Alligator mississippiensis: one gene and its partner. The protein of the gene in region 2 binds, or shares a complex with, the protein of the main gene of each other region. Links are inferred from orthologs where the notes say so. Each region holds a gene or a part of one and is shown on either strand. Other genes may lie near its edges. The genes, in order: PTP4A1 and CNNM2.

What was found.
Region 1: the proteins of CNNM2 (region 2) and PTP4A1 are in contact, whole or in part, in a crystal structure (PDB 5MMZ), measured with the Mus musculus proteins. The link is inferred for Alligator mississippiensis from reciprocal best matches to the Homo sapiens genes CNNM2 and PTP4A1. Residues at the interface, in NP_291047.2 of Mus musculus: Phe526, Asp528, Val551, Asn553, Glu556, Gly557, Asp558, Pro559, Phe560, Tyr561; in NP_035330.1 of Mus musculus: Asp72, Gly73, Ala74, Gly107, Leu108, Gly109, Arg110, Arg137, Arg138, Gly139, Ala140, Phe141, Asn142, Lys144, Gln145.

What each region holds. Positions count from the first base shown.
Region 1 is NC_081824.1:54,210,101-54,222,369, forward strand, and holds the start of PTP4A1 (protein tyrosine phosphatase type IVA 1), read left to right. Parts: upstream 1-7,565; 5' UTR 7,566-7,567; coding exon 7,568-7,672; intron 7,673-12,030; coding exon 12,031-12,123; intron 12,124-12,269. Other genes in the region: uncharacterized LOC128125822 homolog, read left to right, coding at 7,122-7,217. UniProt on the Homo sapiens protein: Protein tyrosine phosphatase which stimulates progression from G1 into S phase during mitosis. May play a role in the development and maintenance of differentiating epithelial tissues.
Region 2 is NC_081829.1:99,035,757-99,047,614, reverse strand, and holds the start of CNNM2 (metal transporter CNNM2), read left to right. Parts: upstream 1-6,916; 5' UTR 6,917-7,032; coding exon 7,033-8,584; intron 8,585-11,858.

The DNA of each region.
Region 1 (12,269 bases), on a different chromosome or scaffold from region 2:
TTTCCTATCAGTACAGTAAATTATTTTGTAAAGTATCAAGTTGTCAACAAGAAAAACTTCTCAAAATGGCAGGGAGGGGATTATTTTATTGGCAGCCCTGCATAGTTTTGACCCAGTGGAGACATATATTAAACATTACTGTAGCTGCATTGGAAGCAATTCTTTGAGCTTGTATTCCATATGCTGCAAGGTATTCCTTAAGGTGATCTTTGCATATCATATATTTATTGAGAGTCATGTTTAGTTTTTTGCACCCTATGATATCTATATTCTGAAGAGGTTATCTCTTTACATGGAAGTTAAGGAGCCTACTTTTGCATATATAGAATCATTCTTTCAGACTTCCTCTTTACTCACTGTCATACGCTCCTTACAATCCTAACTTGCCATCAGTTAATGATCTCTGTTAAGACAATCCGTGAATTCAGTGCTTTTATAGCTGATGCACCTTCCGTGCCCCCCCCCTCCCCTCCCCCCTGCCAAAATGCATTTTGCAGACATAAGGTGGTCGTAAGACCTAATCTAAGACATCAATTTGAGGTGGTTTTGAAATTTTAACTGGAACCGGTCTTTCAACTAGCCTATTTTCTCCTGGAGCAAAATAAACTTTAAGGAAAATAGGAAGTCCATATGTCAGCCCTTGAAATGCCCATGTTATAGAATAGAAACTTTTGGATTCCAGAACCATCACAGATGGAGCAGTCTCCTTGGTGGGATAGTGGATGCTATTCTATTCCTGAGTTCAGATATGTTTTCCTTCAGATGGTTGGTGCACCTTATTCCTTCAAAACTGTATTCTCTGCCAAAGTGTGAGCTCTACCCTCAAACATTCCCTTGCCTGAAATGTGGAACTCATTTATGGCTAGTTGTATCCTAACACTGCTCTTCACAGAACTAAAACAATTCTTAGTGCTGTAGTTGCTGGTTGGCTATTTAGGAAGGCCCCCCGAGGGGGACTTGTTTCTGGTTATTTGCTGCCAAAGCCCCAAGTGGCCTGTCCAACCTGAGACAGAAATCAAGTGACGACTACCATGAGTCCTTTTTCAGCCAGTGTGCTGACTGCATGGTTGTTATAACCATTACAGTTAGAGCTCCTTGTTCCTCTCTGCACCCCTCCCCAATTCCATATAAGACCTGGCTTTTGGTTGCCTACAGTAGGACCTGCCTTGAAATCTAGGTAATTGTGGTAAATAAGATCCTTAGCTAGATGGAAACTAGTACTGTACAGTTCTGCCTCCACTATTCTTTCTGCACAGGATTTTTCCAGTATTTTCCAAATGAAGCTTAGAACCTGACCTTTCTTTCCTTTTCTAAAATTCTTTTCTTCTGCCCCAGGTACAGAAGTTTCTCATTCTTCCCTTCACCAATGATCCAGGCCTAGTTCCTAGTCTCCATGGGGTAATAGTTGCCTCTTGTTGTATTCTAACTCTTTTATTTGTGTTACCAATATCCTTAGTCTCAATCTTATTTTTGGAGAGGCAAGTGGATCAAGATTTTTTTTAATCTCCTGGTTCTTCTCCCTTTAGTCTCTCTGATCATTTGAAGCAATTGTCATAAAATACAGCTTTGAGTTCCTTTCCTCTGTTTCCATCCTAAAACTCCTCTGGTTTAGCTTCTACTATTTTTACATCACACACCTGTTCCCAAATTCATTAGCAGTGTGCTTAGCTACTAAATCTTGGAACCAGAACTTCATCCTCATCTTCCTTGTCTTGCAGGGTGCCTGAGACACAGTTGAGCCTACTCATGACTTCTCATTCTCCCCCACATGCTTAATGGTGCTCAGCATGTCCTTAGGAAAATCTTCAACACCCTCTTCTAGCTATATGGGACTCCCACAAAGCTCTGCTGTCAGCCCATTTTCCATCACATGTAAACACAGTTATCTCCCTGCATGTGAGTCTAGGTCTGGAGTACGCGGGTAGATCCATTTTGCCTTGGACATCTCACAGATGCAGTTTGACTTGAGGGATATATAGCTAAATCATATGAATTCAATTGTATGAATCTATGTAAAGACAAAACTCCTAGTTTACTCCCTTTTCCATGGGAAATGGAAAACCTGGATCCCTGAGCCTAGCGAAAAAGAGGTTGCAGTAAAATTCCATCTCTCTGCATCCAGTTCAAGAATATTGCTCAGGCTTTTGTAATTTGTTGTTTCTCTTGTACTTCAAATAAATCCAGTCCTTTATTTGCATTGCGTCCCTAGATCATCCTTTTCAGTAATAGCAAACTAACTGCTTACTCTCAAAGTCTTTTGTGGCATATTCTCACTTAACTTGTTGGTTATCTGTTAGTATTGAATGGGAAGAGGTAGTTTGCAGAAGGCAGGATAGATGTACACCTTACAGACCAGGGGTGTCCAACCTTTTGAATGTGGGGCCAGATCATGAACTTTTTATCACCCAGTGGGCTGGCGAACCATATTCAAAGACCTCCCAGGAAGCGGTATCACATCTTCCCCCCCCCCCCCCCAAACGAAACTACAGTGTTTACTTTCATTTCCCATCGCAGCACCTCGGGCCTCAGAAAACACCTTGGAGGGCCGCATGTTGGACAAGCCTGTTATAGACTGACTAAATCAGATATTACAAGCTTTCTTAAGTAGCTGCTTACTTCATGAAATGAAGGGACTGCAAGAAGTAGAGCTTCTGAATAGACAGCTGTGATTAGTATACAGAAGGTAGGCAAAAGAAGGGATCACTGTTGGGAGAGGTGGATGGGAGAGAGGAAAAACAAATTAGTTAACCCAGGGACATAGGGGCTAAAGAAATTCAAGTAATGGGATAAGAATCCTGTAGTTTTGATTTAGATTAGGGAAGTCCCTAGTGGCAGCCCATGGGCTGCATATAGATCAGGGGCGGGCAGTTATTTCAGGCGGAGGGCTGCTTACTGGGTTTTAGTAAGATGTTGAAGGCTGCATTTCCCTCTCCAGTCCAGGGAAGCAGGAACAGCCCCACAGTCCCAGGCACCTGCCTCTGCTAGGCAGGGGCTTCTGGTTGGGGGGCTGGGGCTGGGCAGGCCATGCTGCTGGGTCCTGCTGCCAGCTTTCCCGGGGTACTACTGCCCCTGGCTCCTGTCATCTTTGACAGGCAGCCAGGAGCAAATAAATATTAATTTTCTAAAAATTTTAGGGGCCCCGTGGGCCAGATCGAATGGCCTGGTGGGCCAGATCCAGCCCCCAAGCTGTATTTTGCACACTCCTGATATAGATAGACCTCAGAGGATCAGCTTTGGGGACTTAAACTTCTCTGCATGGTTGTCGTTGCTCCCACCCTGCTGCTGTTCCTGCTGCAGCATCTGAGTTCTTTTGGTGATCCCACCTTCATCTTGCTGTTTTCTTACACTGGCTCCTGTAGCAGGAGGGGGCAAGGGTGCTGTTGTTGCATGCATGGTGGGGCCAGCTGCTTCTGCTGCATGTGAGATGGGTCCTTACAGTGGGTGCTCCCCCCCAGCTGCCCAGAAGTTGGACTGCTCTGGTTAGATTATACTTAATACAATCCAGTCTGTGGGTGTCTTGTTGTTGTTCAGTGACTTTTTTTTTTTTCCATTCAAGCTTTTTAAAGTTTTGCTTGAGAATAACTACTCTGAGGTCATAGCTAGAATGTCCAAGGAGGTTAAAATGTTGATGGGGGTCACTTCATTTTTGATCAGACAGAGCTACCAATCTGCAATATACATTTGTTATCTTTCTGAGCAAACTCCTCTAACCTTTATACTTTCTCCTGAGGCTTCTCTGCTAATGGAAATAAAATAGTAGTTTTAGCAAATAAGGGTTTAGTATCTGACTGGCAAATGGATAGTGATACTGACAAAACACTAACTGGTGTTGCACTTGTTCAGTATCCTATTCACAAGAGTGAACCTTCTAATCATGTCAGTTTATGCTTTAGGAAGGTTGGTGAGTCGCTTCAGAAGCAGAGACTGGCGTTCCTGGGAGAAAACACGCATTTTGTGGAAAAGTGGTGTAGATGGAGTGAAACTTCTCCCTGTTATCTCTTCGCATATGCTATAGTCTCAAATCTAAAGAGGGGTGCTAAAAACGGACTTTTTTTTGTTTTACAGTGGTAACACTTAATTTTATTCAGCAGTTGTAATTTATTAAACGTAGCACTTTTCTAGAACTTTTTAGAATCTTAATTCAGTCTTGATTTACTAGAAGAGCATCAGAAAACAATCACTTAGGCTATATTTCTTGAGATTAGTGCAAATTATATTTATTTCATCTCCAATATCTGCAGCATTCCTCTTACTGTTTAAAAGGACCAGCCACATAGTCACAGTGGCCATTGTTGCATCAGGGAAACTGGGTGAAGGCCAAGAAATAAAGCTATGTTCAAGTTGGGTGGAACCTCACATTTTTATATTAACTGTAAATATGTAATTTGAAACTCTTGAGAACCATCCAAGGCAACACTAAAATCCCTGTTTTTACCTCATGCCCAACTGTGTGGAGGTGGATAGACTCCCTGGACTTTGATGCAGACCTCTTCCTATGTCTCCTTGCCAGAGGATGTTTTTAGTCCTTTGCATAGTAGGTGACTAGCATTGCATGCATGTTTACCCACTTCCCTGATCATAGTTCCCTATAAGTAGAACAGGGACTTCAGAATGTTACAGTGTTCATTTTGAGCATAAAATGGCTCCTTGTAGCATGAGGTATCACAATAAATCAAGTTTATAATGATTTCTTTAATGATTATTCTTATCGCTCAAGTATCTGTATCTGCATGTAAATGCTTAGAATTTCCTCAAAGCAACTTGTGATAGACTTACCAGCAATGCCTATACAGTGCAGTACCTTCATTTTTGCAACATAAAGCAGATCTAGTAAGCAGGAATAATGTTTTTATTTTATATGGGTCAGGTGGCTTAAGTAAAAAAAAAACCAAACCCCCCCCCCCCCCAAAAACCTGAATAATTACAAAATGGGGAATCAACAAAACAATTTAAATGGGAACTAGAATATTAACGTAAGCCAGAGTATCTCCTAAGCAGTAGACCTGTTGCATATTTTCACTACTAAACAATCAATATGCTTTAAAATAAGAAGGCTTTTTATTAAAAATAACTTGGCAGTAAAGAATGTGTGGGTGGCTAGACTAATAATATTTGTTAGAGCCAGGCATGTGGTGTGCAAGATTCCCCACAATGCTGACAGTGTACATCTATTATAGTGTGTGAAATTCTTGTTTCAGTTTTAGGTCTCTCCTGAGCAGATGAATTTAGTTAACTCTGTTCACGTCTTTGAAGTAGAAATAATTGATTCTACTTTTTAAATTAAGAGGTTAGAGTAAATTAGATTAAAGAGGCATTTTTTCCTTTTAGCAATTTATTCCATTTCTTGAAGACATTGCTACCAGTTAATGTTTTTAGTATACTTGAATTCCAAATACCCATTCAGAACAGGATGGACTTAGAGCGGTTAGGAAAACACCCTCTGAGCATGAAATGATCCTTGTATGGAAAACAAGTGTCATAGTATCTGTGCTTAGAGGGCAAGGCAGAGGTGTGTGAATTCTACTTAGAGAATGAAAGTTGTGTTTAAAACATGCTGCAGATATTGGAGATGAAATAAATATAATTTGCACTAATTTCAAGAAATATAGCCTAAGTGATTGTTTTCTGATGCTCTTCTAGTAAATTGAGACTGAATTAAGATTCTAAAAAGTTCTAGAAAAGTGCTACATTTAAAAAAATTACAATTGCTGAATAAAAGTTCTGTTAGAAATATTTTGGTCTTGCAACTCTTAAAATATTGTACAGGTACTCCTCACTTAACGACCGAGTTCCGTTCCTGCGACTCGGTCGTTAAGCGAATTGGTTGATAAGCGAGGAGCCGGGCTGCGAGCGCGGGAGCTGTCCGCCCAGCGGTGCTGAACCTGCGGTGCGCCGTTTCCACAATACAGGTACTCCTCACTTAACAACCTCCTGCTTGGAGTACTGACTGCTCGGAGAGCTGGTCGTAAGTCTACGCGGTCGTTAAATAGGTAGGTCGTTAAGTGAGGAGTACCTGTATTGCTAAAACAAAAATAGCATTTCTGAGTAAAAGTAAGCACTGATACCTGGAAATAAAATACTAAAGTCTGAATAGGCAGAAAACAAAATTCTAATATGATACCTTAAATTGGTGGTCTCCCACCTTTTTAAGGTGAAGATCACTTTGAAGTAAAGGACAATCTAGGATTTACCATGCCCTCACCCCCCCACTGCCCAGTAGGTCAGTCTGGGGGGTGGAAGCAGATCGAGGCCCCCATGGCTAGGGGTGAGTGGGACCCTGGCCAGACCAGGAGAGGGTCAGAGCCTGGGTGGCTCAGCTGGGGCGGGCGGGGGGAGGCTGCCACTGTTGGGGTGCGTGCAGTGGCGGGAGCTTCCCTGCATGCCTGGACAAGCCACCTGGGCTCCAACCCACCCCTGGCCCAGCCAGGGTCCCACTCACCCAGTGGTAGGAGATGCAGTGGGGGGTATTTTCCCAGTTGCCCGGCCCTGGTGGCAGGGGGCACAGCTCAGCCCAGCCACGTGCATCCTACCGCTCCTGCGTCCCAGCCATTCCCGATTGCAGAGCCTCTGACAGTTGATCTCAGTCTGAGGGGGCTTTGACTGTCAGGGGCTGACTGGTTGGTGACCACTGCCTGAAATTATATTAGATTTGTAAACATACATAAGGGGTGTATAAGTACATAAAGGGTGTGCATCAGGACCTGGGAGAATGTCTGTTCACCTGAGCGCCCCAAGGAAAAACAAGGACCAACAGTCTCAAACTCCTCCAAGACTGTTTTAGACTGGACATAAGAAAAAAAATTCTTTACTATCTGAGCCCCCAAGACCTGGAATAGACTCCCTCCAGAAGTGGTGCAAGCACCTACTCTGGACTCATTCAAGAAATGCTTGGATGCTTACCTTGCTGGGATCCTTTGGCCCTAGCTGACTTCCTGCCCCTGCGGCAGGGGGCTGGACTTGATGATCTTTGAGGTCCCTTCCAGCCCTAAAGTCTATGAAATCTACGCTGTATGCATTTTCGTTTTACTTTTTAGTAAGCGTTAATATTTTGAGCTAAGTTGTACATATACTTGGGAACAGTAGCTGAAGTAACTTTTTTTTTTTCTCTCCCTTCTTTACAGCAGTTCTGTGGTGTTCTTGGTCACACATTTATGGAGTTTCTGAAGGGCAGTGGAGACTACTGCCAGGCACAGCACGACCTCTATGCAGACAAGTGAACTGTAGAAATTCATTACTACTCCACCAAGAAGCCCCCCTAAGAGTGATTAACCAGGATAAGAAGTGTTGAATTGAAATTGGCAGCGCATTTTACAAAGGAGTTCAGACCTGGATGGGGTAAACCTCAGTGCACTGCCTTTCTTTTGCCTCAGTATTACTGGATTGAAGAATTGCTGCTTCTTGTTAGGACGTTCATTTCATTTCCCATTGCTCCCAACTTCATACTTCCAAGCACTGAGAATTTCAAGTGGAGTATAGTGAAGTAGACTTCAGTTTCTCTACATCATTTCTGTATTAGAATTTTTTAATCCTTTCATAATCTTGTTGCATGTTTTTTAACTAAATTAATATGGCCCGAATGAACCGCCCAGCTCCTGTGGAAATCACCTACAAGAACATGAGATTCCTTATCACACACAATCCAACCAATGCAACCTTAAACAAATTTATCGAGGTAAGGTCTGGACGAAATGCTTTTTTTTTTTTTTTAATTTTATTTAATACAATGCTTTTAAAACCTAGAACAGTATGTGTTTTAATAATATATTTACTAATGGGATTCAGTTCTTAAGTGCTCTTCCTGTTGACTCAGGATTTGGGTCATAGTGATTCTCGCAAGCAGTGAGACATGTTTTACAGAATTACTGTACTCATGAAAATCATTCCTCTATCAAATTGCATCAGTATATTTATTTTTTAATGAACCATAAGCATGATCATAACGGTACTATTACTGATCAACAGGTACAGGGCAGAAAGAGAATATGTAATCTAATTAAAACAACAGAACATTGACAGGATCACAGTTAACTTGCATTTATTAGGTTTTGTTAATTAATGATCGCTCAATTCTTTAGTTCTGTCATGTCTTCAGCAGCTGATTTTTACTACCGTTAATCCATAAAGATGGGGAGAGGAAAGGGCAATATATTAAGACTATCTGGTACTAATTAGATGTGACTGCAAGTATTTATTAGGTATGCAGAAGTTGTCTAAATAAAGCTAGTTTGGCCATCAGCTGTAGCAGTGGAGCTACAGTAGTTTTAGAATTCATGTGACATACACAGACGTATCTGGGACTCCAACTACGTTCATGCTGGCTGAAATCTGGCTTGGCACAAGTTCACATTTGGTACTGGAGCCATTTTAAGCCAAAATTAACTTTGAGGCGTCTAAATCTGTTGCAGTAGCATTTTTGAATAGCCTTGTAAACATGGCCTGAGATCTACTTTTGACATTTGGGTTTCCCATAGAAGCTTTCCTTTGTGCTCTTGTAGAGGAAACAAGAAAACATCCCAAAGAATCACTACACAGCAGTGGTTCCCAACCTTTTTAGACCATGGAGGGCAAGTGACTGTGGACTAGCAAACTGAAGTGACCGGCATACTGCGGAACAGCAGCCAACCCTTTTTTATTCTCAGTATAAATAAACAAAAGGTTGGCTGCCCATCTGCAGTATGCCGGTCACTTCTGGACTTCCAGTCCAGCAGCCAAACCTTTGTGGCCCGGTACCAGGCTATGGCCAGGGGTTAGAAACTTTTACTACACACCATACAGTGTGTGTCACTCGTGCCTTGCTTCAAAAGACTAATAATAATTACTATGGATTGAGTCAGACTTGTGTAGTAGGTTTTAGATATGCAAATAAGGCAATCTTACTGCAGTGTGGTAGAGTGATTGTTTAAACTAGCCAGCTTGAGTGCTGGTAGCAGTCTAGTCATGGTAGCACATAGTGTGCTGAAGCAGAGTAAATCTAGCTTGCGATGTATTTTGTGCTGCCTCAGCTGAACTGGTGTTACTCAGGCTTGGTATAGGCCAAGAGTCAGCATCGTCTTGCTGTCACAAGCCACTGCTTGCAACCCAGCTCCTGCCACAGGCTGCAAATCTCTACAACTCTGTCTGGTAATTAGTGGATGCTTAGGACAGAATGAGGCAGCCAGTAGGACTGTGGGGACACCTCTGCTTCCCTAGCTGCAGAATGCTGCCAATTCCCTGAGTTGCCACAAGCAGTAGGTTGCTAACCCCTGATGTAGACAGTCTTGTTTTGATCCTTTGCACAGGATGCTTTTGGCTGAAGAATATAAATCCCAGATCCCAAGAGTTCCTATTCATGTATTCTAATAGAGAGAGAAAGAGAGTGCCATCCTGCCTAGCTTGTGCCATAATAAGTAGATAAAGCTCTTATGCTCTTGCCTCACAAAATCATAAGAACAAGTTCTGAATAAAAATAAAGACACCCTTTACCAATTAAAGGGTTGGATGAGTCTCTGGATTGGGCTCACAGACCTGCCTCCCACATGCCAGGTCCAATGCATGTGGCACTCGCTCTTGGCTGGTCCAGTACTATGCTGTGCATAGGGACAGAATAGGCCATGGAACAGATCCTGAGTCCCGGGCTTTATGCACTGGAATGAGCTGGGGAATGTCACATGATGTGAGTTAACTCAAAAGATGCAGGGACAGCATGGTCCAAATGTGACCTGTATGCCTTATCTTTGACACCCCTCAATTAAAGCTAAGACATCCCTTCGTCTTCCGTTCCAGACACTGACTATTATGGGGGGCTAGTTAGGATTTTTCTTGAGTTTCATTTTTGTAGTGAGTGGTGCTCAAGATCCCTGTCCTGATAAGAGCCTAAATGTTAAGCTTGCCTTATTTGCAGAACACAAATATAAGACGTGACCAGCAGTAAACTGGGCAATTATACCATGTTATATAATTGCACAGGCTAGTAATGTATGCAGCTTGTCTGTTCCAAAATGCTTTAGGGTATTTTTAAAAGTAAAAATACTTACAGAATCATAATGGCAGTGATGCATTACATCTCTATTTCCATTACACTTCCAGGGGAAAAAATGTGATTTAGCATAGCTCCTAACGTGCCACACGGAATAAATAAACACAACAATGTTAAGATCCTTGTAGTAATTTGGAAGTATTCAGTGAAAAATCCTGCTAACTTGATGATCAAGTAAACTATTTTGGCAGGAGGCTCTTTGAAAGGTACAAAAAAGTAGATGACCATTTTCTTTTGCTAAAATACAGTTTGTTGTGCTCTTTTTAGAGTCATGCTTAAAGGTCCCTATCAACATTATGCCAAATGCTGATAGTTTACCTCTTGGGGATTGAGCCCCAAAATCTTTGTGCTTCCCGGGCCTCCGCTGGGGTGCATGCATCAGCAGGAGCCCTCCCCATGTGTTTGGACAAGCTACCCAGGCTTTGATCCTCCCCTGGACCAGCCAGGGCCTCATTCACCCTGTGGCAGGGGACATGGTGCGTATAGGTGGAGGAAAGGGGTGGCTAACAGGGCTTAGCTCCCATTCCTCCAGTGCAGGGTAGCAGTAGGGCTGCAAGGCAGCCCGGCTGCAGGATTCTAGTGGCTGCAGCAAGAGTAGGGAGGGGTGGCATTCGCAGCAGTGAAAGAGGGAATGAGGCAGGGGGAAGGCCCTGCACAACTGGGGCACACGCAGGACAGAGCCACAAGCGGCTTGTCCAGGGGGCTCAGGGAGGGGAGGCATGCAGCCTGGCAAGGCATGGGGGGCGTATGCCCCCAGATCTACACACGGGGCAAAGCGGGCTGGACCCAGGGCAGTGCCAGGCTCTTCCTGGTACAGCTCTTCAGTTGCACAGCTCTTGAGCCGGGCAGTGGCAGCGCTGGGAGCAGGGCTGCAGGCACCTGAAAATTTGCTGTAGCCCCCCACCGCCTGCTCCCAGTGCTGCAACTGCCAGCACCGCTGCCACCCAGCCCAAGCGCCGCACAACCAATGAATCATGCTGGGAAGAGCCTGGCTTGGCCCGGGCCCACGTGCAAATCTGGGGTCATGTGCCCCCTGTGGCCTCCATACAAGCTGTTCGTGGCTCCATCCTGCACCTGCCCTGCCTATGCAGGGCTTGTCCCTGCTCATTCCCTCACTCACCGCTGTGGTGGAGGGCAGATTGAGGGAGAGAGCAGGGCACAAGTAGGAGCGGGGGCTGGGGAAGTGGGGGTCAAGCGGAGGCCAGAGGGACAATGTGCCTTCCAGGCCTCCACTTGCCCTACCACTGGGCCCAGCCAGACCCACTCCACCCAGCCCCTACTTCTGCCTGTTCCCTGCTCCCTCCCTCACTGCTGGGCCCTCAGTCTGCCCCCACCACCCCCAGTCCTTTTCACCCACAGACTTACCTGTTGGGTGGGGTGAGTCCCCAAATAATTTTTTTCCCCTCTGCTTCAATCTGCCCCCTCCATCTCTGCCCACAGACTGACCTTGAGGGGTGGGGTGGTGTAGGATAGATCTTGGGTTGCTTTTTAATTCAAAAAGTGATCTACCCAAAGAAGTTGGAGACCACTGTACTACAGGATAAGCTTATTAGCTGCTAAAATGACAATACATTGATTTTTACTGTTTGTCTAAAATTTGTTCTTTGAAGGCTGACTGAGAGAAGTGCAGATTCCTGTGAATAGGTCATCTTTAGGGGTACTTCTTGGTCTGTAACTTAAATCTGGTCATTGAAAGAATTTGCAGCACTAGCAGTGTACTTGGACTTCAGCAGTGCCAGGAAGAGAGCACTAATTTGAAGAAACTTTTTTAGAGGTGAAATATTGAAGGCTTTTGATGTTATTTCGGTGTATGCTTGAAATCAGCATAGCAGCTGCATTCATAAAAACATTGCTTACTAGTTGGAAGACTGTTGTCTGGGTTGGAGGGAACCTTACTGAAACTTTGAAACCTATTAGTAAGCTAAAGTGTAGGAAGTACTTAGGTGTGTCCTGCTGGGAAAGCCAAATGGTAAAAGTCAGGGGAATGTAGAAAAAAATGTCTTTTTCCTCCTCAGGAACTTAAGAAGTATGGAGTTACCACAGTGGTGAGAGTATGTGAAGCCACTTATGACACAGCTCCAGTGGAAAAAGAAGGCATTCAAGTTTTGGTGAGTGATCTGAAAAATTTGCTTGGAAGTTCTTTATAGCATTATGTAGCATTTAGTAGCTCATAATGTCTTTGGTAAGGTCTCAATTTGTCTGAATTTCTAATGCATTTGTCCTAGATGTTTCTAAATGAATGTTATTTTGGAGA
Region 2 (11,858 bases):
TGTTCTGCAAAGCAACAGAAAGCAAGCAAGGACAAAGCGAAGGGACAGATTCCGCCTCCCCGGCCCTCCCAAGCGGATCTGGGGCTCTTTTAACACAGAGACTAAAAATGCAAGCCACGGCAGTCAACAGGGTTTGCAGGAAAGCAGGTCTGTCAGATGAACCCGTTGTCCAGGTCCCGCCAGGATTACCCGTCCAGCCGAGAAAGGCGACTGGTTATTGTATCCTTGGGTTTCTCTGGTTAAAGGCCACGGTGCACTGAAGTGGTGTAAAACAGCCTGATGCAAGGCAAAGCATTGGGGAGGGTGTGCCAAGGGTCTGCCCGCCCCACATCCCCAGCACTCGGCGAGGGATATTCCTGAGCAGGTCCGGCCCCACCTGCTCCTGGCTCATACGCGATCCTCAAAGGGACAAGAAATGGGACTATCGGAAGTGCCCTCACCTCTGTGCCCAGCTTTATGGGGTTTGCTGCTGGGGCATTGCCCCCGCTTCTTCACGCGGGAATACTGACGGTGTCTGGCGTGTTAAGGGATTCATCTGGCTTGGCTAGAGAGGGCTGAGAGGGGGCAGGATCGCTGCGCACAGGGGCTTACAAAAGATAGCGAGAGCGGAGGGCTGGGGCTTGCCAGCCTTCCTAACCAGGCTGGGCTGGATGTGACCTCCTGGGGTCCCTTCCTCCCTCGTTGTCTGTGCTTCTAGGATCTCAGGGTCCTGCAGTCCAACCCTCTCGGACAGACGCCCACCCAGCCTCTGCTGCAAACCTCCAGCAAAGGCGAGTCCACAGCTCCCTCCGGCGACTCGGTGCCTGTCCTACTGCACTGACGACTGGGAAGGGTTTTCCTGAGATCGGGTTTTCAAGCCGCTTTGCTGCGGCTTCAGCCCGCTGCCCTGCATGCTACCCTCTGTCGCTCCATCCTTTCGAAGGATGCTGATGGTACCCCTAATTAGAAGGGGCTTATAGCGGGCTAATTCGGAGGGAAGGGACTCAAGAGTCAAAGCTTCCCTCCAGTTTCCAAGGTTCATTGAATACATCCAGCAAACGCACTAAGTGATCCCAGTCCTGTCCTGGGATCCTGCGGTTACAGCGGCTTGTCCGAGCGCAGCGGGGGAACCGAGTCGGTGAAGAGAGTGAGGACGAGGAAGAGGGGAGAAATCCCCTGCCAAAATGAATGTATCCCTGATTACCAGGGCAGCGAGGGAGGTCGGAAGCTGGGCCTGTCTCTTGGTGAAGGATGCGGATGGGGTATTATCGTTCCCTACCAAACACGGTCCCAAATCGAGGGAACGCACGGGGCACACCAACAGTTCGCCACAGGCCAAATGGAGCAAGGCTTTCGCTGCAGGCTGTCCCGTAGCGCCTGCCTGCGTGCACCGTCTTACCTGCCGTACGTGGAAGCCAAACCATGGCTGCTTAGCCCAGATGATGTGCAGAAACTCCTTGCCTCCTGCGTACCTGGGGATACGCTGTTTGTGTAGCCATCCCCTTAAACACAAGCTATGGGGCATGGTGCTGATGTGAACCAGAGCCCTTGACTGTATGTGAGAGGCAGCAGTTAGTCCCTGGGCGCCTCCGGGACCTGGGCTCGGGGCCTTGCTCTCTGTGCATAGCCAAGCAAGACACACCCCAGCCACAGCTGCAGCAAGGTCCCAGCGGGGCACGGGGAGGGTGGGACGACTCCGTGCTGTTCCTGCTTGTACCGAGTTCTCGCTGTTGCAATAAAGCTTTTTCCCATGCTTTTGATCAAGCCCAGGGACCTATTTTGTTTGGGGCCAGCACAGTTCCCACGTGCACGTGGATCAAGTAGTGGAGGACGTCGCACCGAAGCGCTTACAACGTGCTTTGCCCTGCCAGAGCTCCTCAGCTCAGCTGGGTTGAACTGAGCTAGAGCTGGAAGGAAACTTGAGGTGCGGTGCCTTGGGAGGAGAGGATTTCACGCTGTCTCCGTCCGATGGGGTGAGCGGAAGGGGTAGCGCGTTGCTGGCTTGCTGCCCCTGTCCGTGCGTGTGGGGCAGGCAGGTTTGGACGCCCAGGGGATAACGGGAGACTTTCCCGACTTGCTTCGGTGTCTGGAGACAGAGTAGAGAGCGTGGGCCTCTGAGTGCAGCATGTGCCAGCCCCAGGCATCTGGGCCGGAGAGGCGATGGAGCTGGAGTCAGGCTGCAGAGCCAGGGGCAAGCTGGCGGATGATTGCCTGTTGGCGTGCAGGTCCCCCCGTTCACGATGTTGGGAGGCTGAAGGGCCTGGGGCTGTCAGAGGGGGAATGGAGGTAGGTCGCACTGGGTGCCAGCGTGAGCTGGTCTCAGCTGCTGTCTAGCTAGGGCACATGCATCAGAAGATGCATCCGATAACAAGATCAAGGCTCGGGGCCTAAGATTCCCCTTCTCCTCCCCTGCAAACAGACGCCCCAGTCGTATCCCCCTCCTGCTGTTATTCGCAAGGACTTGCTCAAATGCCGGCACCCTATCCTGGCACATCTACTGCAATTAGTTCTTCTTATCAAAGGAGATCTTCAGGGTGCGAATGAAAGAGCGGATTTAAGCTTTTCCCCACCTGTGAGCCACTTCATTAAAAAGCCATGAAACCCTGCCCGAGCCTTTCAGATGCCCCAGCAGCTCCAGCCGGGGGTGGTCCCCCATCCCAGCATGCATACGTGAAAAGGCCACTGCTAAATGCCAGCGAATTTGCATGACTTTGTTTCCACGGGCTCTTTGCATTTTCGGGAGAACGGAGAGGAAGTGCTAACAGGACTTTATCCGTCTTGCATTGTCACCTCCGGCATTGCGCTAGCGGCTCCTCCGCTGGGAATGGAGGTGACGGCTCTCCGGTTGGAGCTCTTTGGGGCCACGAGCCTGCTGCACATCTCAGAAACTGTCACGAGATCGTTACCCAGAAAGCAAACCTGGCCGCTCAGCTTCTCTCTTAGGAGGTGCCGTAGCTGTGCTCCTCAAAGCGCCCCGGCACCATTCACCCCCTTCCCAGGGCGCCGGGTGCTTGGGGCGCTGCTCGTCTAATTCAGAGATACGGGAGTAGCCAGCAGGCTGGAGCGATTCGGGGTGCTGCAGACTTGCTGTGGCATCGCGGTTAAGTTATTTAAGCTTTCTGTGCCTCTTTTTTTTTTAAATGGAGATAACGACACTTACCTCCTCCGCAGGGGGAATTGCAAAATGTACTGCTCTCAGGAAACAGGAGCATCTTCAGTGGGTTTAGCACATGCTTTTAAAGGCTCTCCTGAATCAGGGCCTAAAAGTATTTTCATAGCATCATTGAAAATGAGGGTGGGAGGGAGCTCAGGAGATCACACCTAGTCCAACCCCTGCTCCAAGCAGGACCGGCCCCAACTGCATCATCCCAGCCAAGGCTTTGTCTACCTGGGTCTTAAACACCTCCAAGGATGGAGACTGCACCACTGCTCTGGGGAGCCTGTTTCAGTGCTTCACCGCCCTCCTCATGGGAAAGTTTTTCCTAATATCAAAACTTAACTTCCCTTGCTGCAACCAGAGACCGTTGCTCCTTGTTCTGGCACCTGCACTGAGACCAGCCCAGCTCCGTCCTCTTTGCAGCCCCCCTGCAGGGAGGTGAAGGCTGCTAGTCAATCCCCCTCGGTCTTCTCTTCTGCAGACTCAATCAGCCCAGTTCCCTCAGCCTCTCCTCACCAGTCCTGTCCCTCAGCCCACAACCATTTTCACTGTCCTCCACTGGACTCTTTCCAACGTGTCCACATCCTTTCTGTCGTGGGGGCCACAGCTGGATACAGGACTCCAGATGTGGCCTCCCCGGTGCTGAATAGAGGGAAGCATCACTGCCCTCCATCTGCGGGCAATGCTTCTACCATTTCCAGACAATGAGGGTGGAAGGGAGCTCAGGAGGTCACATCTAGTCCAACCCCTGCTCCAAGCAGGACCGGCCCCAACTGCATCATCCCAGCCAGGGCTTTGTCTAGCTGGGTCTTCAAAACCTCCAAGGATGGAGAGTGCACCACCTCTCTGGGTAGCTTGTCCCAGTGCTTCACCACCCTCCTCGTGAGATTTTCCTAATATCCAACCTCATCTTCCCTTGCTGCAGCTTGAGCCCATTGCTCCTTGTCCTGCCATCTGCCTCCCGCCCCGAGAGCAGCCCAGCTCCATCCTCTTTGTAATCACCCTTCCGGTCATTAAAGGCTGCTCTCAAATCCCCCCCAGTCTCTTCTGCAGACTAGCTATGACTGCATGCAGAGTGACCCCAGCAGAGAGCACGAGGAGGCTCCGAGTGTTCCCTAGTGGGAGATACAAAGAGCTCGTCCCATTGATGGTAATTCTTGGCATATAACTCCCGGCCTAATTTGACGAGGGAGGGACCCTGGGCAGCTGAAGCCTGGGCCCTGCGCTAACTAGCCTCCATCAGAGGAGCGGCTCTCATCAATATTAAACGCTCGGCCCGCAGGAGCGCAATAGGCAAAGAAATGTCATGTTGGGTGCGGGGGGCCGCGCGCGCAGCAGGGAGGGGAGGGGGCCGCAGCAGTCGGGAGCCCGGAGGTTAATTTTTAATCGCCTCATTGTCATGACACGCACACGCGGGCCCTGCTAGGTTTGTAATAGAGCTGCAAAGTCAATCATGACGGCCAGGGAGGGCTGCTTCTCGGAAGAAACTCATCCCTGAGAGATGGCTGGCTCCCAAACGCAACCTTTCCTGTTTCTGCCGCTGGACATTGGTGCTCCGTACTCCAGCAGAGTCTTTCCCTGCGGCTCTGTACGCCCCTCGCAAAGTAAGCCTTCCGACCCCCTTGTCGCTGCATCGTTTGCTCACGGAGCTGGCGCTGCTTAGCAAGAGGAGAGGAGCGCTGGTACCATGAGAGCCTCGCTCCTCTGGAGCCAGGCGCAACGGCAAGGCCGGGCAATGCAATAGGTGGCTCCAGGACTGCAAAGCAAACTGCTCCCGTGCGGCTCATTGCCACGGCCTCCCTTAAGCCTCCATCCCCCTCTATACGGCTTTGGACGTCCCGTCATCTGTGTTTTCCCTGCTGTTCAAACCACAGAGGGGTCTTGAACAGCAAAACCCCTTCAGTGGAGCAAAGGATGAGAAGTTATCTGACAGTTTGAATGAGTTGTAGGGCAGCTGTCCTGACGGGAGAGCAGTGATGAGCAATGACATGGGGGATAGAGAAGACCGAGGGGGATCGAATAGCAGCCTTCACCTCCCTGCAGGGGGGCTGCAAAGAGGATGGAGCTGGGCTGGTCTCAGTGGGGGCAGATACAGGACAAGGAGCAATGGGCTCAGGCTGCAGCAAGGGAAGTTGAGGTTGGATATTAGGAAAAACTTTCTTACTAGGAGGGTGGTGAAGCACTGGAACAGGTTACCCAGAGAGGTGGTGGCGTCTCCAACCTTGGAGGTGTTGAAGACCTGGGTAGACTTGTCTGGGATGCTGTAGTCGGAGCTGGTCCTGCTCTGAGCAGGGGTTGGACGAGATGTGACCTCCTGAACTCCCTTCCAGCCTCGTTTTCTCTGAGTCTAAGACACCGAGGGGGAGGCTGGGACAGGAGATGAGCCCACCGCATTGGGGTTTGGACTGGAGCTGATCTGCCCCCAAAGTGAACGGCTTCGGTGCAAGCTCCCGCGCCTGGCCCTCTGCCAGGGCACGTCGGCAACGCAGGCGGCATCTGAAGTCTCATCTGCTGCCAGAACAAATGTTAAACCTCAGCCCCTGGAAACAACGCACGGCTGGATGTTACCCAGGCAGTCACGTGTAGCCAGTGTCCTCGGAAAATAACGTTTCCTATGATCTACTCGATTCAAGCCGACGCTGCATCCAGGGACCGAGCGCCAGCGCAAATTCAGGATTTCCTGCTTAACTTCCCTCTCGCCAGCAGCGCTTGGAGGAAATAACTCGCACTTCACCAGAAACATACTTACGTGCGGACGTAAATATATATATATATATATATATATATATACGTACACCTCAACATATGCGAACTATTCCAATAGGCACATAGCTTTAAATACCCAAGTGCACATTTGAATATGTTAAAGTCCATAGTTGAGCATGCAAATGCATGCTTAAAGTGTATCTTTAAATATATTTAAGTGTAAATATTTAAGCATGTATTTCAATACATTTAAACATATATTTCAATACATGCATACATCTATACACACACATGTGTGTATATACATGCGTATATATACATATATACACATATATGTGTATATATATATCCATATATATCCATATATTAGACCAACTTCAATAGTTGGAAAACAATTTTTAAGCAACCTTTATATATATATATATATATATATATATATATATATACACACACACACACACACATATATATACACACATACACACACACATATATATACACACACACACACACGTACGTGTGTGTGTGTGTGTGTGTGTGTGTGTGTATATATATATAAAGGTTGCTTAAAAATTGTTCTCCAGCTGCTGACGCCGGTGTGCTGAAAGCTGTGGGACTCGCCCGCACAGCCGTGTTTCTCTGTAGATAAAAAACTATTTTTGCAAAAAAACATGAAAAGAAAAAAGTCGCCTTTCGGCTGGGAGGGGTGGGGGCGGGGCTTCCCGCGGGCCCGCCCCCCGAGCGCGCCCCGAGCGCGGCCGCCAGGTGGAGCCGCGGCTCCTTCCCGGAGCGCAGCACCGCCCCCTTCCCCCCCCCCCCCGCCCCCGGCCTTGTCCCCCGTCAGCCATTGGCCGGCCCCGCCCTCCCGCCGCCAGCGCGGCGCGGCCATTGGCTGCGCCGCCTGCGGCCCCACACGCGGAGTCACGCGCGGCGGGGGCGGGGCCGGCTTGCGGCCATTGGCGGCTTGCGGCGGCGGCTCCGCCCCCCGGCGTCGGGGTGGGCTGGGCGGCGCGCGGGGCCCGGCAGTCGGCGCCCGTCAGCGGCCGCAGGCGGGCGGGCGGGCGGGCAGGAGCTGCAGCGCCGCGCCGCGCGGGGGGAGGGGGCCCGAGCGAGGATGCCGCAGCGGCCGCCGCAGCCGCAGCAGCCGCCCCGCGACGCCCGGCCGCGGCGGGGCTGAGCCCGGAGTCAAGATGGCGCCGGGCCGCAGGGCGGGGGGCGGCCGGGGGGCGCTGCTGCCGCTGCCGCTGCCGCTCCCGCTGCTGCCGCTGCTGCTGCTGGGCGGGCACTGCCTGGGCGAGCAGCTCGCGCCCGGCGCCCTGGCCTCCCCCGCCGCCAGCGCCGCCGGCCCTGAGGAGACGGTGATCATCGGGCTGCGGCTGGAGGACACGGACGACGTGTCGTTCATGGAGGGCGGCGCGCTGCGCGTGAGCGAGCGCACGCGGGTGAAGCTGCGGGTCTACGGGCAGAACATCAACAACGAGACGTGGTCGCGCATCGCCTTCACCGAGCACGAGCGGCGGCACCGCGGCGCGGCGGCGCCGGGGGCCGGCCCGGGGCCGGGTGGCGGCAGCGGGAGCGACGGCGGTGGCGGTGCCGCCGGCGGCCCCCCGGCCCCGCAGCGCTGCGGCATCCGCACGTCGGACATCATCATCCTGCCGCGCATCCTGCAGACCCGCCGCACGTCGGGCATCATCGAGATCGAGATCAAGCCCCTGCGCAAGACGGAGAAGAGCAAGTCGTACTACCTGTGCACCTCGGTGGCGGCGCCGCCCGGCGCGCTGGGCGCCGCCGAGGGGCCGGGCTGGACGGAGACGACGTGGATCTACCACGACGGCGAGGACACTAAGATGATCGTGGGCGAGGAGAAGAAGTTCCTGCTGCCCTTCTGGCTGCAGGTGATCTTCATCTCGCTGCTGCTGTGCCTCTCGGGCATGTTCAGCGGGCTCAACCTGGGGCTCATGGCGCTGGACCCCATGGAGCTGCGCATCGTGCAGAACTGCGGCACGGACAAGGAGAAGAACTACGCCAAGCGCATCGAGCCCGTGCGGCGCCAGGGCAACTACCTGCTGTGCTCGCTGCTGCTGGGCAATGTGCTGGTCAACACCACCCTCACCATCCTGCTGGACGACATCGCCGGCTCGGGGCTGGTGGCCGTGGTGGTGTCCACCATCGGCATCGTCATCTTCGGCGAGATCGTGCCGCAGGCCATCTGCTCGCGGCACGGCTTAGCCGTGGGCGCCAACACCATTTTCCTCACCAAGTTCTTCATGATGATGACCTTCCCGGCCTCCTACCCGGTCAGCAAGCTGCTGGACTGCGTGCTGGGCCAGGAGATCGGCACGGTCTACAACCGGGAGAAGCTGCTGGAGATGCTGCGGGTCACCGACCCCTACAACGACCTGGTGAAGGAGGAGCTCAACATCATCCAAGGGGCGCTGGAGCTGCGCACCAAGACGGTGGAGGACGTGATGACGCCCCTGCGGGACTGCTTCATGATCGCCGCCGAGGCCGTGCTGGACTTCAACACCATGTCGGAGATCATGGAGAGCGGCTACACCCGCATCCCCGTCTTCGAGGGTGACCGCTCCAACATCGTGGACCTGCTCTTTGTCAAGGACCTGGCCTTCGTGGACCCTGACGACTGCACCCCGCTCAAAACCATCACCCGCTTCTACAACCACCCGCTGCACTTTGTCTTCAACGACACTAAGCTCGATGCCATGCTGGAGGAGTTCAAGAAAGGTGGGGACCGCCGCCGTGCATCGGAGGGGCGGGGGGCATGAGGGGCGGCCCGGTTACAATGTGTGGCCGAGCTGGCCTAAGAAAAGAGGGCTGCTACCTTTTTTGGGGAGCTCTTTCACTCTGCCGTCTCCACTGGAAGTAGAAGTGGAGCAATTTGGAGATAAGCACCTGTCTGTCGCCTGATGTGTGCACCTGGTGATGGCATGTGTCTGTTTCCTGTCAAGCCGGGGGTGCATGTGTGTGAATGCAGTCTTTTTTGGCTGAATGTTTTTTTGTGTATCTGTATTCATCCGCCGGCAGGTACTGCCATGGGTCTGCACCCTCCGTGGTGGCATCTCCAGCCCTGTAGGCTGGTCGTATGTCGGAAGAGGGGCGGGTGGGTGATATAGGTCACGAGCGTCTTGCAGGCCGTTTGCTCGCGCACATGCACGTGCTGAGATCAACAAGGCTTTTGAATTCCCGTCACCAGTGCAGCCGGGCTCGCTCTGCCTGGTGCATGCTTGTGTGCAGTTCGCGGCTGTCCTCATTGATGCTTCAGATCTGTAGCTCGTGAATAGCTTTGGGGCTTTTTTTTTCTCCCTCCTCCTTAACCATGGGCCTTACAGTTCACTTCTAACTGATTTGCTAATTACACGTGCCGGCGTTACAGACCTTCCCCTCTCCTCTCGTTTTTGCCCTGGCAACCACAAGCTGAGCCACATGTCGATATGGTTTTTTCTGTATCTGTGCACTCCCTGCTGTGTGGAGTAGCATGCGCTTTGTTGCCTAACCAAAACTGGACTGTGGTTTTTGTGATGGTTAGCCTGGGGCTTTTCAGTTTTTCCTTGGTTGGGGCGTAAGGGGAAGGGTGGGAGGGTCTCCTGGTAGACGCCTCTTAACTTCTCATTGTGCGTTTTTTATTGTTGCAAGCAATCGTTCAATAACTCTAAAACCTGTTCCTCTCTTTCAGCTGCAGCACGCAGGGAAACCTTTTCAAGGGGTTGTATGCAAGGGGTGGGAAGATGCTCCAACCTTGCCCATTTTGTGGGGTCCCGTGCTGGGAGACTCGGAGTAGTCTGCGGTGGGGGAAGTTTATCATGTCCTCGTTCAAAGTACTGTAGAAAAGTTCAGTCCCCGTGAGAGCCTTCCTGAAGGAGGAGATCTTTACCATTGTATTAACACCACAGCCAGGTAAATGGGGAGTATTTGAGTTAACCTTTTCTCAAGGTAACTCTGACACTCGGGTGAACTTTGTAAACTGCACTCAAGAGTTCTTCTGTGCAATAAAATTTGTAGGCTGTGTTTGATCTGCACGCTAGGCTTTGAAGGGCTCTCTCTGGTTGACCCACTACTAATTTAACGGTGTTTCTGTGGTTCAAGGCACTTGAAGGCTTCAAGTTCTGAACCTCATCTTGATTGATAAAAAGGATTGTGCTGTTTTGGTTGGGAAAGTAAGCATGTTAACCTTGTCTACCTGATACAGCGATTGGAAACCTTACAGCCTACTTCCTACCCCATTTCGGAGCTGTGGAAATGGGAAGAGAGGCTGAAACCCAAGGTTGTCTTCTGATGGTTTTATTGCCAGTGTGGCCACAAGTTTTTGTGAGCTCCAGGAAAGTGGATGACCTACTGTTTAGCTTTGACTAGATAGGTTTTATAATATTGATTTCCCTTTGTCCTTGGCAGTGGCATTATTTCCTAGAAGGCTTCTCAGTCTTCTTTAGCTACCTTCACTCGGGGCATCTGGTCCTCTCGCTGTACGGGTAGGGCTGTTGGTGTGAGCAGTCATAGAGGAGTGAAAATGGTGATGAATGCTCAGCCTCTCTTGCTGAGGAGGTGTAGTCCCACTCCAGGCTGCTGCAAGCCAGGTTGGTTATTGGGAATTGGAATTGCACTGGCACGTTTGAGCCCGACGTTGCTCGCTGTGATTCGGGAAGCTTGTGAATCTGCTCTGTAACCTGGAGAGCAGACCAGAGGTTGTTTTGCTGTTGTATGATACGAGGAGTTGTCTGTCCAGGGAAGCTGGCCAGCATAGCTATTCCAGAACGATTGCCCTGTGCAAGCGCTCCAATCTGGAGTAGCATCCACGTGGGGGAAGGTAAACTGGCTGAACGGCACCGGATGGCTTCCCGGAGAGCTGTCTTGGCAGATGGCTCTGCGTAGACAAGCCGATAGGTTAGCAGAGATCTCTTGCTTGAAATGGCCATTGGAGAAGAGCTGCCCTGAAGCACCAGCTCTGTCCTGCACCGGTGTCCTTTAAGAAGTGCAGATAGGTTGGAGATAAACTGCTTCCTTTGCGTCCTTTGAAACTAGCATAAATCACTGATAACTGGCCCGGCCTGGCATAGCACAGCGGGTTTTGCAAGAGTCCCTTAGACTCCTTGAGGAATCCTCTCCCAGGGTGACCTTGTGAAATTCCCACGAGACGGTTTCCCCAGGCCGGTACGATTTAACTGTATCCTGGTGGCTAGCATAACGATGACCAGGAATAAGCCTAGGTCTCCATTCCCCCAGGGTGAGGAACACAATTCCTCACCGTGTCGCAGTGCTTCCACACACCGAGTGTTAAAACCATTAAAGAATGGCGTGTCTTCTATGGAAAATGTTAGCCCAGCAGGCCGGGTTTTAAAGCTCACTTCTGATATGGGAAGTGCTTGTGCCTAAGCTGAACGTGGAATGGAAATGTCGACGAAAAGGTTAAACTGATCAGCCCCAGTAGGCGATGCGAGCCTGGGTTGTGTCGGAAGAAGAGCGGATGACTTCGTGCTCCGTCTGCCCTCTGGTCCGTGCAGTGGGGCAGGAGGTGATGGCGGGTTTTTCATCAATCTGTGGGAGTTGGACTGTCATTAAAAACGGCAACAAAGAAAGCTGCCTAATGGCACAGAAATCAAACCAAGGGGACTGCAGTGCCCCTAGACTGTCCTTTAATCGCCTACAGTACAAACAGAGCTTCCTTACCAAGCGGTATGTGGAAGGCAAGCTCCTCCCTTCAAGGACTGTTTTTAAAAGCTTGTGAAAGTGGAGCAGTTTTTAGCCCTGTCAACAAGACCTTGAATAACCACCGGCGCTGTCGGATCCCCTTGCATGCAGCCTGCACACGCTAGGTTTTAGGTCAGAGGGATCCAATTTATAGCTTTCGGTGCACAAGGAGAAAGGTGTTATACGGAGATGTGCTGCAGGAAGTCCCCCCCCCCTCCCTCCCCCACCATGCTCTCCAACAGGAAGGTAGGTCTCACAGATGGCAATAACTCTCCTCTAAAAACACTTCGTTGCTGTAGAGGAGGGAGGCTGGGAG